Linked DNA regions of Cricetulus griseus. The protein of the gene in region 1 interacts with the protein of each later gene in a biochemical or structural test. Links are inferred from orthologs where the notes say so. Each region holds a gene or a part of one and is shown on either strand. Other genes may lie near its edges.

Region 1 (4,238 bases):
CATTCCCTGAAAATCACAGAGCCAAGTCCACTTGTTGGGTCTTTTTATTTTTGCCTGCAGAGTAACCTTGCAAGGCAAAGCTTGCTCGTGGGCACTAAGACACACTTCAGGGTATTCCACACCCTAATGCTTTCTTCTCCAGATTTAAACCCAGTTTACAGGGTAGTGGATGTCAATTTACCCTGAGCACACCTGTAATCCCAGCACTTGAGAGGCTAAAAGAGGAGGCCAGAAGAACATCCAGATCAAAGCCAGTCTGGGCCCGAAGTCAGACTGAGAGAGAAGAAAAGGGGATGGAGAAGGGAGATAGGAAGGAGAGAGGAAAAGATAGGAGGAGCAATGAGGACAAGGGAGGGGAGGACAAGGGAGAGGAAAGTAGGGGAGGAGTGGAATAAAGAACCATTTCTGACTAAACTCAACTACACCTGGCCTAAAGGGGCAAAGGGGAACAAACTAGCAAATTCAAATGGCTAAGGAGATCAGAAGTAGGCCAGTGTGGATGGACAGACACAGTGGTAAATGTGTCCCCTGTCTTGGCAAATGGATAAATGGATGTCCTCAGTTCCAAATGATTGCTTTAGCATGAAAGTAGAGCCAATGTTCAACAAGTTGAAGCTGTATACATGAGTATGTACGTGCGTGTGTGCGTGCGTGTGTGTGTGTGTGTGTGTGTGTGTGTGTGTGTGTGTGTGTGTGATCTTGCAGTTCTAAGATGCTAACACCAAATTCATAAACTATGGCATTCTAAGGGTTAAACAAGTCTAAAGCTAGTCATCTTTGGAGATCCAATTTAAAACCCATCTTTTCCCCTCCCCGCTTCGGGTGATGCATTCCAGAACCTCTCTAGCACAAAGCAAGCACTCTCCTGAGCTACATTGCCCAGCTCTCAGGCCATCTTGTAGACATGAGCCCTAGAGACAGAAGAGGCCACCAGGTCTCTGATATTTGATAGGGCACCCCTAAGTTGGAATCATGGCTCTCAAGCCAGATGCAAGGACCCAGGCAACCAATCTCTTGGAGCTCTTCCTGTGCCTCCTCAGAAGTTAAAAAGGGCAATCTCAGGCAGGATCCGAGAGGCACCCTATGTGCAACCACCCCTTTCAGAGAGGGAGGAGGCCCAGGGGAAACCACAGTTGCTTTTCTAGGGGATGCGCCATCTGCAGAGGAGGCAGCCACCTGCTGAGACCTCTGCAAAGCAAGGAAAAGAGGCTGAACCTCGTTCTGGGAGGTGGGGAAGAGCAATGTGCAGGAAAGGGCTGAGATTAGGAAGAAAGATTGGTTCCCTCCACACACAGGAGTCCTTCAGGACATTTCCTTACTTAAGCAGGGCTGACAATTCCAATAGAATGCTCAGAAGGCAGAGGGATGGATGCACTTTTTGACATTTAGGGCCTTCCAGCTCCACTAGCCTCTCCTGGATGGTGCATCACTGGCCCAAACACACACCCCTTAAAAGGACCCTGTGGTGGTGAAGGATTCCTAGCCTGGGAGGTCACTCTGACAGGCAGGATTACTTCACTCTGCCTAACTCAGCCACGTCTGCAAAGTCTGTTTTAGCCTCACTTTCCACCAGCAGTATCCACAGAGCCACAGAGCCTACCTTGACACTGGAATCCCTGCTTCCCGAAGCCCCTGTAAAAGCACAAAGAGGAGTATCAGTCTGAGGGGTCCAGTTACCAGCTGGTTTCACACAGTAGCCCCCTCCCTTCCCACTGTCCCTCTACCTCAGATGCAACCTCCTAGCTACAGGCCGGTGTTCAAGCGTCTTCCACCTTGGATAGGGTTGTGGGGTACATTGTTGGGGCTTGGCAGTTAACTCCCCCCTCAGATCTCCCCGGTAGTTCAGACGAGACCGCGACCACCAGGTGGCGGGGTACGAGGGTGCATTTCCGTCCGGGTGGGGGCGGAAGGCGGGCTGGATATCTGCCCAAGGAAATGCCGGGAGTACCCTCGGGGAAAGAGAAAAGGACCTGTCTAGAGGGAGGATGAGAGGGACTCCTCCGCAGCGATGTCCCCTGAAAGACTAGGAGAAAGAAAAGGTCGCCCCACTCCTGGAGAGGCAGGGAGAATAAAGGGGCCCTGCAGCAACGTGAGGGTGAGAACTGAGGAATAAGGGGGGCTCAGGATTCTGGGGACGCAGTAAGAGATTAGCCAGGGCGCTACTCTAGGGACACGTTGGAGGGAAGGATGCTCCACGCCCCGGGGAACCAGAGGACACCCCAGGGAGCTGCCCCGGAAAGGAGGGGTGAGGGTGAGAGCGCCTCGAGCCCGGAAGAAGGCAGAAAGATCGGGAACCCCAGGCGAGAAAGACACCCGCGGAGCTGCCCTGCCGAGGAGGGACAGTCACCAGGCGCCCTGAGCCAGGTGTCAAAAAGGCGCCTGCAGCGCTGTCCCTGGGTGCTCAAGCGACAGAGTGCAAGAGGGCAGGAGGTGCCTGGGCCAACCGTCTGGGACCAGAGGACCCAGCACCTGGGGGATTAGCCATCCCAGAGAGCGGGACAGAAGGGTCCAGCGGGATGGAGATGAGCACCCGGTTCCTCGGCCCCCCCCCAACCGAGGACGACTAGAGGGGTCCCCACGCGTGTCGCTGCCCTCCGGGGCCCCGGGCAGGTGGCCCGCGCGGCGCGCTCTCACCAGATGAAGTCGGTGCAGTGGCTGCAGAAGGTGGGCTGCTTGAAGAAGCGGGCGGTGAATTTGTGGTTCTTCACCTCGTGCACGTTCTTCTGCCGGAGGGCGCCTTTGCGGGCGAAGCGCACAGTGCTCTCTTCGCCCTCGCTCGGCGGCGGCCCCGCAGCCGGGTCAGCCATCTTGCGCGCGCGGGGACCGGGGGGAGCCCCGAGAGGTGGCGGCCCCGGGGCGGCGGGACCGCGGGGCTGCGGGCCCGGAGAGGCGCGGCGCGGGACTAGGCGGCCGCTGCTGCCGCCGGGGACCGCGGGGCCGCGCTGCCCCTTCGCGCCGGCTCTGGTGGCGGCCGCGCGCGCGGAGCTAGGCTGTCACTCGCCCAGCTGCTGCCGCTGGTCCAGCTGTGCTTGGCACCGCTGGCCCCAGCTGCGGGGGAGGAAGGCGGAGCCACAGGGTAACCCCGCCTCCCTCATTTGCATCGGACCCAGGCCCCGCCCAGAGCCTCCAATTGCTTTACATATTGACACCACACACACACACATACACACACACACACACACAGAGGCTCTCTCTCTCTCTCTCTCTCTCTCTCTCTCTCTCTCTCTCTCTCTCTCTCTCTCTCTCTCTCTCTCTCTCTCTCTCTCTCTCTCTCTCTCTCTCTCACACACACACACACACACACACACACCACACACACACACGCTGCAGCCTGCCGGCCTCCCAACCAAGTGTTCTTAGCCGCAGCGCTGCAGCGCGGGGACCGCAGACTGCGCTGGACAGACCCGAGCCGCACCCCTGGCACCCTATCTTCAGCCCCTAGTGCATTAAGATGAGCACCTCCGGTTCCCCAATGAGAACCAAATGCAGAAGGGCCTGAGGGGCTCAGGGAGAAGAGGGTGGAACAGGCTGGACACAGCCAGTTTCACCGTGGCCTCTGCAGAGACTGATACCCAACACCCTCCATCCATCCCATTGGTCATTCCTCATGCGTCTCCTGAAGGGATGGGCTTTCGCTGTCACTCATCCGGAAAGGACTGTGGCCACACACACACACACACACACACACACACACACACACACACACACACACACGTTCTGCAGAGGTAAGGGAAGAGCATGCTTTATATTATACATATCTAACTCCACCACAAGGAAGACTTGTCTCTGTCTCTGCTTGCTTGAACCCTTAGAAGAGAACTCTCTCCACAAAAGGACTCAGTTCCCCCAACTATAAAATGAGGCTAATAAGGAGGGGGGATAAATTTAACAAATGAATGTTTCCCTAAATGCCATTCACTTTGGACCCAGCTTCACAAAGCCTAGTCATATTTGTTCAGTGTCTTAAAAGGAAAGGTCTATGAGGTTGGATGTACCGAGGTTTGTGTTGTTAAAATCTCTCTGGGTTCTGTGGTCATGTGAAGCCTTTGTTTATTGGGAAAGGAGATTCCAAAGTATTTGGGGCACATTAATATCCAATGCCACACTCTCCCCAGATGAAAATTAAAGAGTGAGAAGGTAATCAATGATGACATTGGGTGTTATATAAGGTACCGCACCTAAGTCCCCCACCCCTGTCATGCTCTACACCCTGGGAATCAAGGATGGCATCAGTGAAC
Region 2 (4,238 bases), on another chromosome or scaffold:
ACAGTTGATAAAATTGTTAAGCCACGGTACCGTGAGCCAAACACTGGTTAGACAACAGGTAACATTACTATAAACAGTCTATGAAAATGCATACACCTGTGGACATCATTAGGTATGATAAATGCACAAGAAGAATACACAATGTTTACTAGTATTGATTATCTCTTTACCAGTATCCGAACCTTAGGTATTTTTTTCTGCTTCTACATTGGAATATAGTTACTACAGTAGAAACATGTGCTGCAATTTTCCCCATCTTCAAAATGCATGTGTTTAACTGAACATTTTACAACTCATACCCAGATCTAAAGTTCTTTGACACTGTGATATATATTATTTGCAAGTAAAATTAATGACTTCTTAAAAATAATTTTTATCAGTACTTTGAAAAGGGGGTATCACTGCATTGCTCAAAATCTTTGAGAGGTCAAAACTTCAGAAGTTGGACAATTCAGAGGACACTGAGTCCCACATAGACATCCCATTGGATATGCTTGGTGGGGAAGAAGTGTTTACCCAGGACTTCATGGCAAGTGCTGACCACCGAGATTCACCTCATCCCTGTATATTATCATAAATCTATTGTCTCATCTGAGAATGGTCCTTAGTTTAGTAGTCAATAGATATTTCATTTTATTATCAGAGGAGCTATTATTCTGGAGACAAGATTTCACTGGAGAGGTTTTTGTTTTGGTTTTGTTTTCTCCATTGTTAACCTGTAGAAGATGTGGACTCTGCTAAACAGGAACTCTCAAGAATGGCCCAGGAAACAGCAGCCATCTGCAGTGAGACAGGGAAGAAGTCCCAGGCTATACAGGGAAGATGCCAGCTGATTCCAGGACCTCACAAAATGGCATAAAGAGGAACAAAGAATTGGAGCTATATTTTTTCCCTCCTTGGACACTCAAGATTTTTGCAGATTCTTCCACATTTTAAGGAAAAGAAGAGCTTCAGGTGCCAGACTAGCCAGATTAGTCTCTTTTTGTTGTTTTTGTTTTGTTTTTTTTACACCTCCCACACCCACCCCACAGAGCACCCAAAGCTGTCTCCTTAGGGATCATGGCTGGTGAGATGTTCAAGGTCAGCTGTGCTTCTTTGGAGACTCACCATTATTTTCATACCATCTCCACATGCAAGGGGGCAAGGTAGGGGTGAAGAGGAACCTGTGTGCCCTCAGGCAGAGCTTACAAGCAAAGGGAACAACTTGACTCTTGAGGGCAAACCATCAGTAATCTTGGGGAAGCTCAACTCAGAAGATCCTAGTCGCATCTCAAGCAAAACACCATCTCCTGAGACTCTGAAAGAATACAGCCCTGCTCTGATCCCTCAGGACTGACCAGGCAATCCAGAAAAAGGAACCTGCCTGGTCATCTTTCCTGCCCTGTTGATGCAGAGGCTTGCCACTTTTAGAGGCTACATCATCAGTCAGACCTTTGCCTACTCTTTCCTCCACATGGGCCAAAAGTCCCTGAGCAACAGCTCTGACCCACTGGTGTTCCCACTTTGCCACTCTATCCAGAGCAAACTCTGTCATTGAACGCTTTCATAATCTGAGTCATCAACAAGGAGAAAAAACAAAATAAAACAAAACAAACAAACAAAAAACCAAAGACCCTGAGCACCACACAGCTACTAAAACAAGGAGGACCCAAAACAACTGGAAGTGTTATGTTAGCTTTTATTATGGTTCTGTTTTGTTTTATTTTTTGTTTTTTCCAGACAGAGTTTCTCTGTGTAGCTTTGGAGGCTGTCCTGGAACTCGCTCTTGTAGACCAGGATGGTTTTGAACTCACAGAGATCCGCCTGCCTCTGCCACCTGAGTACTGAGATTAAAGATGTACGCCAACACCACCCAGCATTATGTTAGCTTTAAAGTCATGAGCGAGTGTGAGTTTATAGAAGAAACATATTGTAAAGTTAAGCGTTCAATGAACCGGAAAGCATGCTTAGAACCTCAAGTGACATTTGATGCAGATGTCAATTTATAAGTGTGTTTTGCAGACTCTTACACAATTCTTTTTCAGAATTGACTCACAATGGTCAAGTCAGTCATACCATAAATTCACCATTTTTTTTTAACAGATATGGTTTTCCAAGTTTCAGTGATAAAATATTAGCAAAACTCCAGCCATCTGCTCCTACCCACCAGTTCACTCCTAGGTGATTTAAATCCTGGCTATGAACCTAAAAATCCTGGGACACCTAGAAATCAACTCCTTTGCTAGACAAAGTCTTCCATCCTCAAAGTTAGAAGACACTGTGGCTAAAAAGAACAGTCTTAAATAGTAAAACCCACAAATTAACAAATACAAATACAATGTCACAGGGTACCAAAATCCAGATGGCATAATAAATTGGTGGTGGCTTGAATCTCGAGCACACACACACACACACACACACACACACACACACACACACACACACACAGAGAGAGAGAGAGAGAGAGAGAGAGAGAGAGAGAGAGAGAGAGAGAGAGAGAGAGGACAGTCTCAGGTTACTGACTTACTAGGGTGAGTTTCTCTTCCTCACAGCAGCGCTTTGCCTGTCTGGCTGCCAAGTGTGAGCATGCCACCAGCGGCTGTTCCCTTCGAGCCAGGCTGTGTCTTAACCAGTCATATGCACCTCCTGATAAACACCGAGCGGTGCCAGGAGGTCAGAAACCGAAGCTCATTATTCTCCCAGCTGGTAAACCTTCTGGTAAGCTGTGGGTGGGCTTGGCCACTTCATTAGCATGCGGGGCAGGACATTCCACCGTTTGTTTTCCTTCTAGAGATAAATGCCCGAAGAGCTGATAAGTCACACAGGAGGGCAGGTCACTGCAAACAGAAAGCTAACTGCGTTTGTGTGGGGGTGGGGAGGCTGACAGCCTCTACTCTCCCACCTCACTTAAGGTGTGTCTAGTCAGCAAGAAAAGGGAAGCAGGAGTTCAAGCCAGCAGGTGGAAGTTGCTTTTACAGGTCAGGTGCTCTTACAATAGTCAATCTTGGTTTCATTTTCTCAGAACTCCAGGGTTCTCCACACAATAAAGGGGACTGTCCCAAGGAGGGCAAACTTTAGCCCTCTTAAGAATGCTTCAGGGCTGCTGCAGCCAGAGATGGCCAGGGGCAAGAACATAGGGGATGATGGAAGAATATCCCATGAAGTTTTGTCAAAAAGCCATGGAAATGATTATCTGTGGCCCCAAACCTCACTTCCACATTGCTGTCTACATTCTGGGGAACCACAGAGCAGTTGAGATTGTCAGTCAGGGTGACTGGAAAGAGAAACTACCACTTTGCAAATATGTTGCTGGGAAGCTGGGACAGAAGCAGTTTCTGTGTGGCTCGCAGCAGTGGCAGACTAGCCGGCCCACTGTGTTGGATCCACCAGGGTTTAGTTTTCCCTTCTCATCTTTATCACTTTTCTCTCCTAAGAAAACCTTTGGAGTGTGTGGCTTTAGAAGGTGTCTGGCCTTGAGTCTCGGACTTCTTGGAATATTAAGGTGAGGAGCTCACCTTTGGAGGGAGAGTGGAGATGTGGCAGACAGTCTGCTCATTTGGAAAAGAGAACATCGGCAATGCATGGTTAAAGTCTCCCAGGGGATTTCTGAGTCATACTAGCCTGCTACTGTCAGCCTTGATTTTTAACAAGTGTAAACTCTCTCAGGAGCATGTATGGCCCATCTTCCAAACTGGGGTTCATCTTATAATTATTTGTGGTGAAAATTAATCCAGAAATTTCCCTCTGTATAAAATTTATTATTAAAAAGAAAGGAGGGGAGGAAGAAGTGGAGGAAGAGGATCAATTTCTCAGGTCTAACTTTTTACCTAATTGTGAAAGCCCAGAGTATAAATGGAAACCATTGGGAATATCAAAACCCATCAGTGAGAGTTTAAAGTCAGCAATAGATATAAACTCCAGATCTGAGGATGCAACGCCCTGAAACACATCATCTCCACAGGATTTTTCACTCCTGTGTTGGTGACTCAATCTCCATGCACCTACAGAAGAGGAAGTCTGCTAATCATTTGGAATTCTCTTCTGATTTATTTATACTCCCTGTTTACAGTAACAGAAACTTCTGGACCTGATGATCCGTGTCAGTCACTTCATTATCCTGACAATCCAGTATGCACCAAATAGTCAAGGAAGAGGGAGATTTCTGGAAACTCTTCAGTGATTAACAGGGGAAACAATATGGAGATTCTTTGCCAATTCTATTTACAGCTAAGGGCAGACCCTGATGGTACTTATGAGGC
Region 3 (4,233 bases), on another chromosome or scaffold:
TGGGAACATTTTTAGATTTCTAATGGGGCCAGGCCATTGTTGAAGCTCACCTTGACCAGCTTGTCCCATCCACAGGAGACGATGATAGGGTTGCTACTGTTCGGGGAGAAGCGGACACAAGACACCCATTCTGAATGACTCTCATCCTACAGAAGATGCAAGGTAAGTAAGAGGACTACAGATAACTACCCTAAGTGGGGCAACAGCACTCTCTGGCAAACCTATACTTCTGGATCAACAGAACAGTTGGTAAAGTCATTTGTCAAGCCTGCTGATTCATATTTGAGTCCTAGGATGCCTCCTCATGGAGCACAGTGCCAGGCACAGCTCAGAAACAGCCTCTGGATTTCAGCACTGCACCTCAGATGGCATGTTGGAGTCATCACTGCTCTGCCTGGCTTGTAGCCCCCAAGTACTTAAACATACTTCCAGGAGGTAGGTAGAGATTTTAAAACCCCCTAACCCTTAGGGAAGTTATGGGACACATCTGGGTATTTGCTCATGTGTAAGGGCCTGCCCAATAGATGCCTTGGCCTAGGGTTCCATGCCCCAACTCAGAAGAAAAATCAACTCCCAAGTCCCAAGCCACTCATGAGCAAGAATGCATTAAATATATAGTAAAAACCAACCAAATCCCAGACAAATGCCACACATTACAAAAGAGCTAGATGGTGGCACACAGCTTTGATCCCAGCATGCAATAAGCAGACCAAAGTTCTAGTCTAAGCAGGGTTACATAGTAATGAACCATCTCAAAACTGCAACAAAATCCCCAAGGGCTGGGAGATAACCTCTAACTTGTAGCCTTTACCTCCATCACTTTACCTGGACAGTGTATTTGCAGACACCGAGAGTATTCCATAACTTTATGGTCTTGTCTCGAGATCCAGACACAATCTGCCGGTTGTCGGAGGAGAAGGCTACACTCAGTACATCCTTAGTATGGCCTACAAATCGTCTCGTGGTGGTGCCCCTAAATGGGAGAACCTGGTCACTTTCTAGACAAATCTTATCCTTTTAGTCAGACCCTTTTCTTGGCTACATTGCTGCTCCAGTAGGCTCTATCACTCCACACAGCTTATATGTGGCTTTGTTCTATTATTAGCCCATTCTTGGTATGTGCCAGAGAACCCATTCAGAATTGCAGGACATGTCCTCATTCCCTTGTGGGGATTGGTTGACAATGTCTTCTTGTCATCACTAGGATCCTCTATTACACCTGCCAAATGCTCATCTAGGACAGCTTTCAAGATGAAACACTTATTTTAACAGCTGGCGGTACCCGGTAAAAACGCTCCAACTACACGACAGCCCTCTAGCTCCCTCCTCAAAGAGGTCAACACCAACATCTTACCCCACCCTCCATAAAAAAACCAATTTCCGAGGGAGACCACACCCTCGGGAATCTACCTCAATTTTGCCCAGCTCTCCCCCAAGGTCCCAAAGCAGCTACTTGCGTTGTGAGATCCCAGAGGCGCAGTGTTCCATCCCAGGAGCCTGAGAGGGCAAACTGGCCATCAGAGGAGATAACGACATCACTGACAAAATGGGAGTGACCTCGAAGCGCACGCTGTGGTATGCCATAGTTGGTCTCGTCCCTGGTTAGCTTCCACATGATGATGGTCTTGTCTGAAAAGGTTGGGGAAGAAATTACATAGGCACCCACACCTATATACTGGGCATAATTTACAGTGCTTTACGGTTACTGGTGTAATAACAAGGGGAGCATCACTACATTCAGTGAGAGGAACTGAAAAGATGTAAGGCACACCCGAGACTATGGGGTACCACACTTGCTGGGATTGAAACTCAAATCCAACCCAAGATTAATTTGTGTTGAATGTTTCCCCTCCATGTGTGCCCATGTTGTTTTTAGAAGAGGGTGTCAGATTCCCTGTAACTACCTACAATTGCAAGTCACCATGTGGGTTCTGGGAAACAAACCTTACCTAGTCCCCTTGAGGAGCCAGTTTTATCTATCATCACTCCAGCACAAGGCTAACTCAAAAGTAGCAAAGTCACTTGGGTGTGGGATAAGCAGACCACCTTTTGTGCCTTTAAGGGTTGACTAGAAATGCAGTAGCTATGGTAGAATAAGACAGTCCTAGCCATGCACCATGTCAAACCATACAGAAACGAATAAAGTGCCTGATAAGCTTCACACGAGAATGAACATAAATTTGGGCAGATAGGGAGACCTGGGTGGGCAAATCATGATAAAGATAAGTCATGAGGAAAAATAAAAAGCCTTAGTTTACGCACTGCTCAGAGCTCAGGGCCAGACGGCAGCTCAGAAACAGCCTCTGGATTTCAGCAAAGTAGCTCAGATGGCATGTTGGGGTCATCATTGCTCCGCCTGGCTTGTAGCTCCCTAACTACTTAAATATATCTCGAGAAGACAGACGAAGAGATTTAGTCACCTAATCTTATGGGAGTTATGCGACACCTCTCGGTTTCCGTCCATGTGCAAAGGGTCGCCCTAGTTGGGGCCCAGGTTCGGGTCTGCACGCCCCAACTCATAACTGGGTGGGGGAATGGACCAAGCCAGCCAACCCACGCGCCACCTGCGAAGCCAGGAGACGCGCAGTCCCCGGGAAACGCGCTATTTCGCCCGGCATGCAGCCCGTACCTCGAGACGCAGACAGAATCATGTCTGGGAACTGCGGGGTGGTGGCGATCTGTGTTACCCAGCCGTTATGGCCTTTGAGGGTCCCACGAAGGGTCATCTGCTCCGTCATGGCTGCAGCTGATACGAGTGTCGCCGCAGCGACAAGGATGGCACCGGATAGCTCAGAGAGCCAAGCACCACAGCGGCAGCCACAGCGACGCCGCGGAGAAAAAGAAAGAGCGGCCTCCGGCGGAACCGGAAATACCCGGAGAGCAAGGCGGGGGTTCCCATGATTCCCTGCTGCTCAAAGATGGCGTCACCAGGTAGTGGGAGGGGCTGGGCGCGGTAAGTCGCAATGTCGCCGTTTCTTCTGCCACGGAACATAATTTGGCGACTGCTGAACAAATGCGTTCTTAAGTAAGCTTTACTGGGTTTTAATAAAGGCTCCTCGGCAGATTAGTACGTGTTCAGGAAGGAAAAGTAAGACGACCGGCTCATCGCCATACTGCAGCGGCTCCTCCCTCCCCGGCTACGTGGCAGAGACGGCGCCCCGCCCTTTTCGCTTGGTGTTCCGGTTCCTGGGTTGGCGACTCCGATTTAAGCTATGACCTAAGGAAGTATATTTGAAGTTGCAATTAAAGGCGTGTGCCGTCCAATCTGGCCCTTTTGTTTTAAGGGATTTTTATTGGAATCCCTTTCTGTGACTCTGACCATTCCACAGAAAAGCCTGCTAGTTTGTCTTGTGTAGCCCTGAAAGAAGTGGCTGGACAGGGAAGCGGAGGAACACTGATAATTTGGTAACCTGATGACCTTAATCTCAACACTTAAGTTTGCAGTGGCCCTCCGATGTCACAGATCTCTCCTTAAATTTTACAACTTTTTTTTTTCGTTTGTTTGGTTTTTTTGGGGGGGAATTGGGTTTCGAGACAGGGTTTCTCTGTGGCTTTGGAGCCTATCCTGGAACTCACTCTGTAGACCAGGCTGGTCTCGAATTCCAAGAGATCCGCCTGCCTCTGCCTCCCTAGTGCTGGGATTAAAGGCGTGCGCCACCAACGCCCAGCCCGCCTATTTTTTTTTTAATTTTTAAATTTATTTATCCATATAGTGTTCTGCCTGCATATGTTCCTGCACGCCAGAAGAGAGCAAATCTCGTTATGGATGGTAGTGAGCCACCTTGTGGTTGCTGGGAATTGAACTCTGGACCTCTTGAAGAACAACAGCCAGTGCTTTCAACCTCTTAGCCATCTCTCCAGTTTAAATATTTTTAAAAAGGACCACCAGTTAGGATGGTAGCAACCACTAACATCTATGAACTAAAGGTCACATTTATTTATTTTAGTTCTGTTGCTGAACTGCTGTTTTAGGCTTTAGGATACAGCTATGAACAGAAGAAAGAAAGAAAAAGCCAGATGGCCATTTTGTTTGCAATAATTTACATCTTGTGGTAGAGTAAGGCAATGTGGTTAAGAGTGAAGTAGGGAGCTGGGTGGTGGTGGCGCATGTCTTTAATCCCAGCACTCGGGAGGCAGAGGCAGGCGGATCTCAATGAGTTTGAGGCCAGCCTATCCTACAGAGTGATTTCCTGGGCAGCTAAGAATGTTACACAGAGAAACCCTGTCTCCAAA

What was found.
Region 2: of the proteins of Prkcb (region 1) and Rasgrp3, one has a biochemical effect on the other in vitro, tested with the Homo sapiens proteins (2 studies listed by BioGRID). The link is inferred for Cricetulus griseus from reciprocal best matches to the Homo sapiens genes PRKCB and RASGRP3.
Region 3: the proteins of Prkcb (region 1) and Rack1 form a complex in vitro, tested with the Homo sapiens proteins (2 studies listed by BioGRID). The link is inferred for Cricetulus griseus from reciprocal best matches to the Homo sapiens genes PRKCB and RACK1.

The regions. Positions count from the first base shown.
Region 1 is NC_048596.1:78,377,617-78,381,854, forward strand, and holds the start of Prkcb (protein kinase C beta type), read right to left. Parts: upstream 2,808-4,238; coding exon 2,635-2,807; intron 1,633-2,634; coding exon 1,601-1,632; intron 1-1,600. UniProt on the Homo sapiens protein: Calcium-activated, phospholipid- and diacylglycerol (DAG)-dependent serine/threonine-protein kinase involved in various cellular processes such as regulation of the B-cell receptor (BCR) signalosome, oxidative stress-induced apoptosis, androgen receptor-dependent transcription regulation, insulin signaling and endothelial cells proliferation.
Region 2 is NC_048600.1:8,319,341-8,323,578, forward strand, and holds the start of Rasgrp3 (ras guanyl-releasing protein 3), read right to left. Parts: upstream 2,863-4,238; 5' UTR 2,507-2,862; intron 1-2,506. UniProt on the Homo sapiens protein: Guanine nucleotide exchange factor (GEF) for Ras and Rap1.
Region 3 is NC_048600.1:63,457,179-63,461,411, reverse strand, and holds the start of Rack1 (receptor of activated protein C kinase 1), read right to left. Parts: upstream 2,861-4,233; 5' UTR 2,739-2,860; coding exon 2,630-2,738; intron 2,355-2,629; exon of another isoform or gene 2,287-2,354; intron 1,630-2,286; coding exon 1,458-1,629; intron 1,209-1,457; exon of another isoform or gene 1,129-1,208; intron 974-1,128; coding exon 826-973; intron 393-825; exon of another isoform or gene 325-392; intron 147-324; coding exon 51-146; intron 1-50. UniProt on the Homo sapiens protein: Scaffolding protein involved in the recruitment, assembly and/or regulation of a variety of signaling molecules. Interacts with a wide variety of proteins and plays a role in many cellular processes.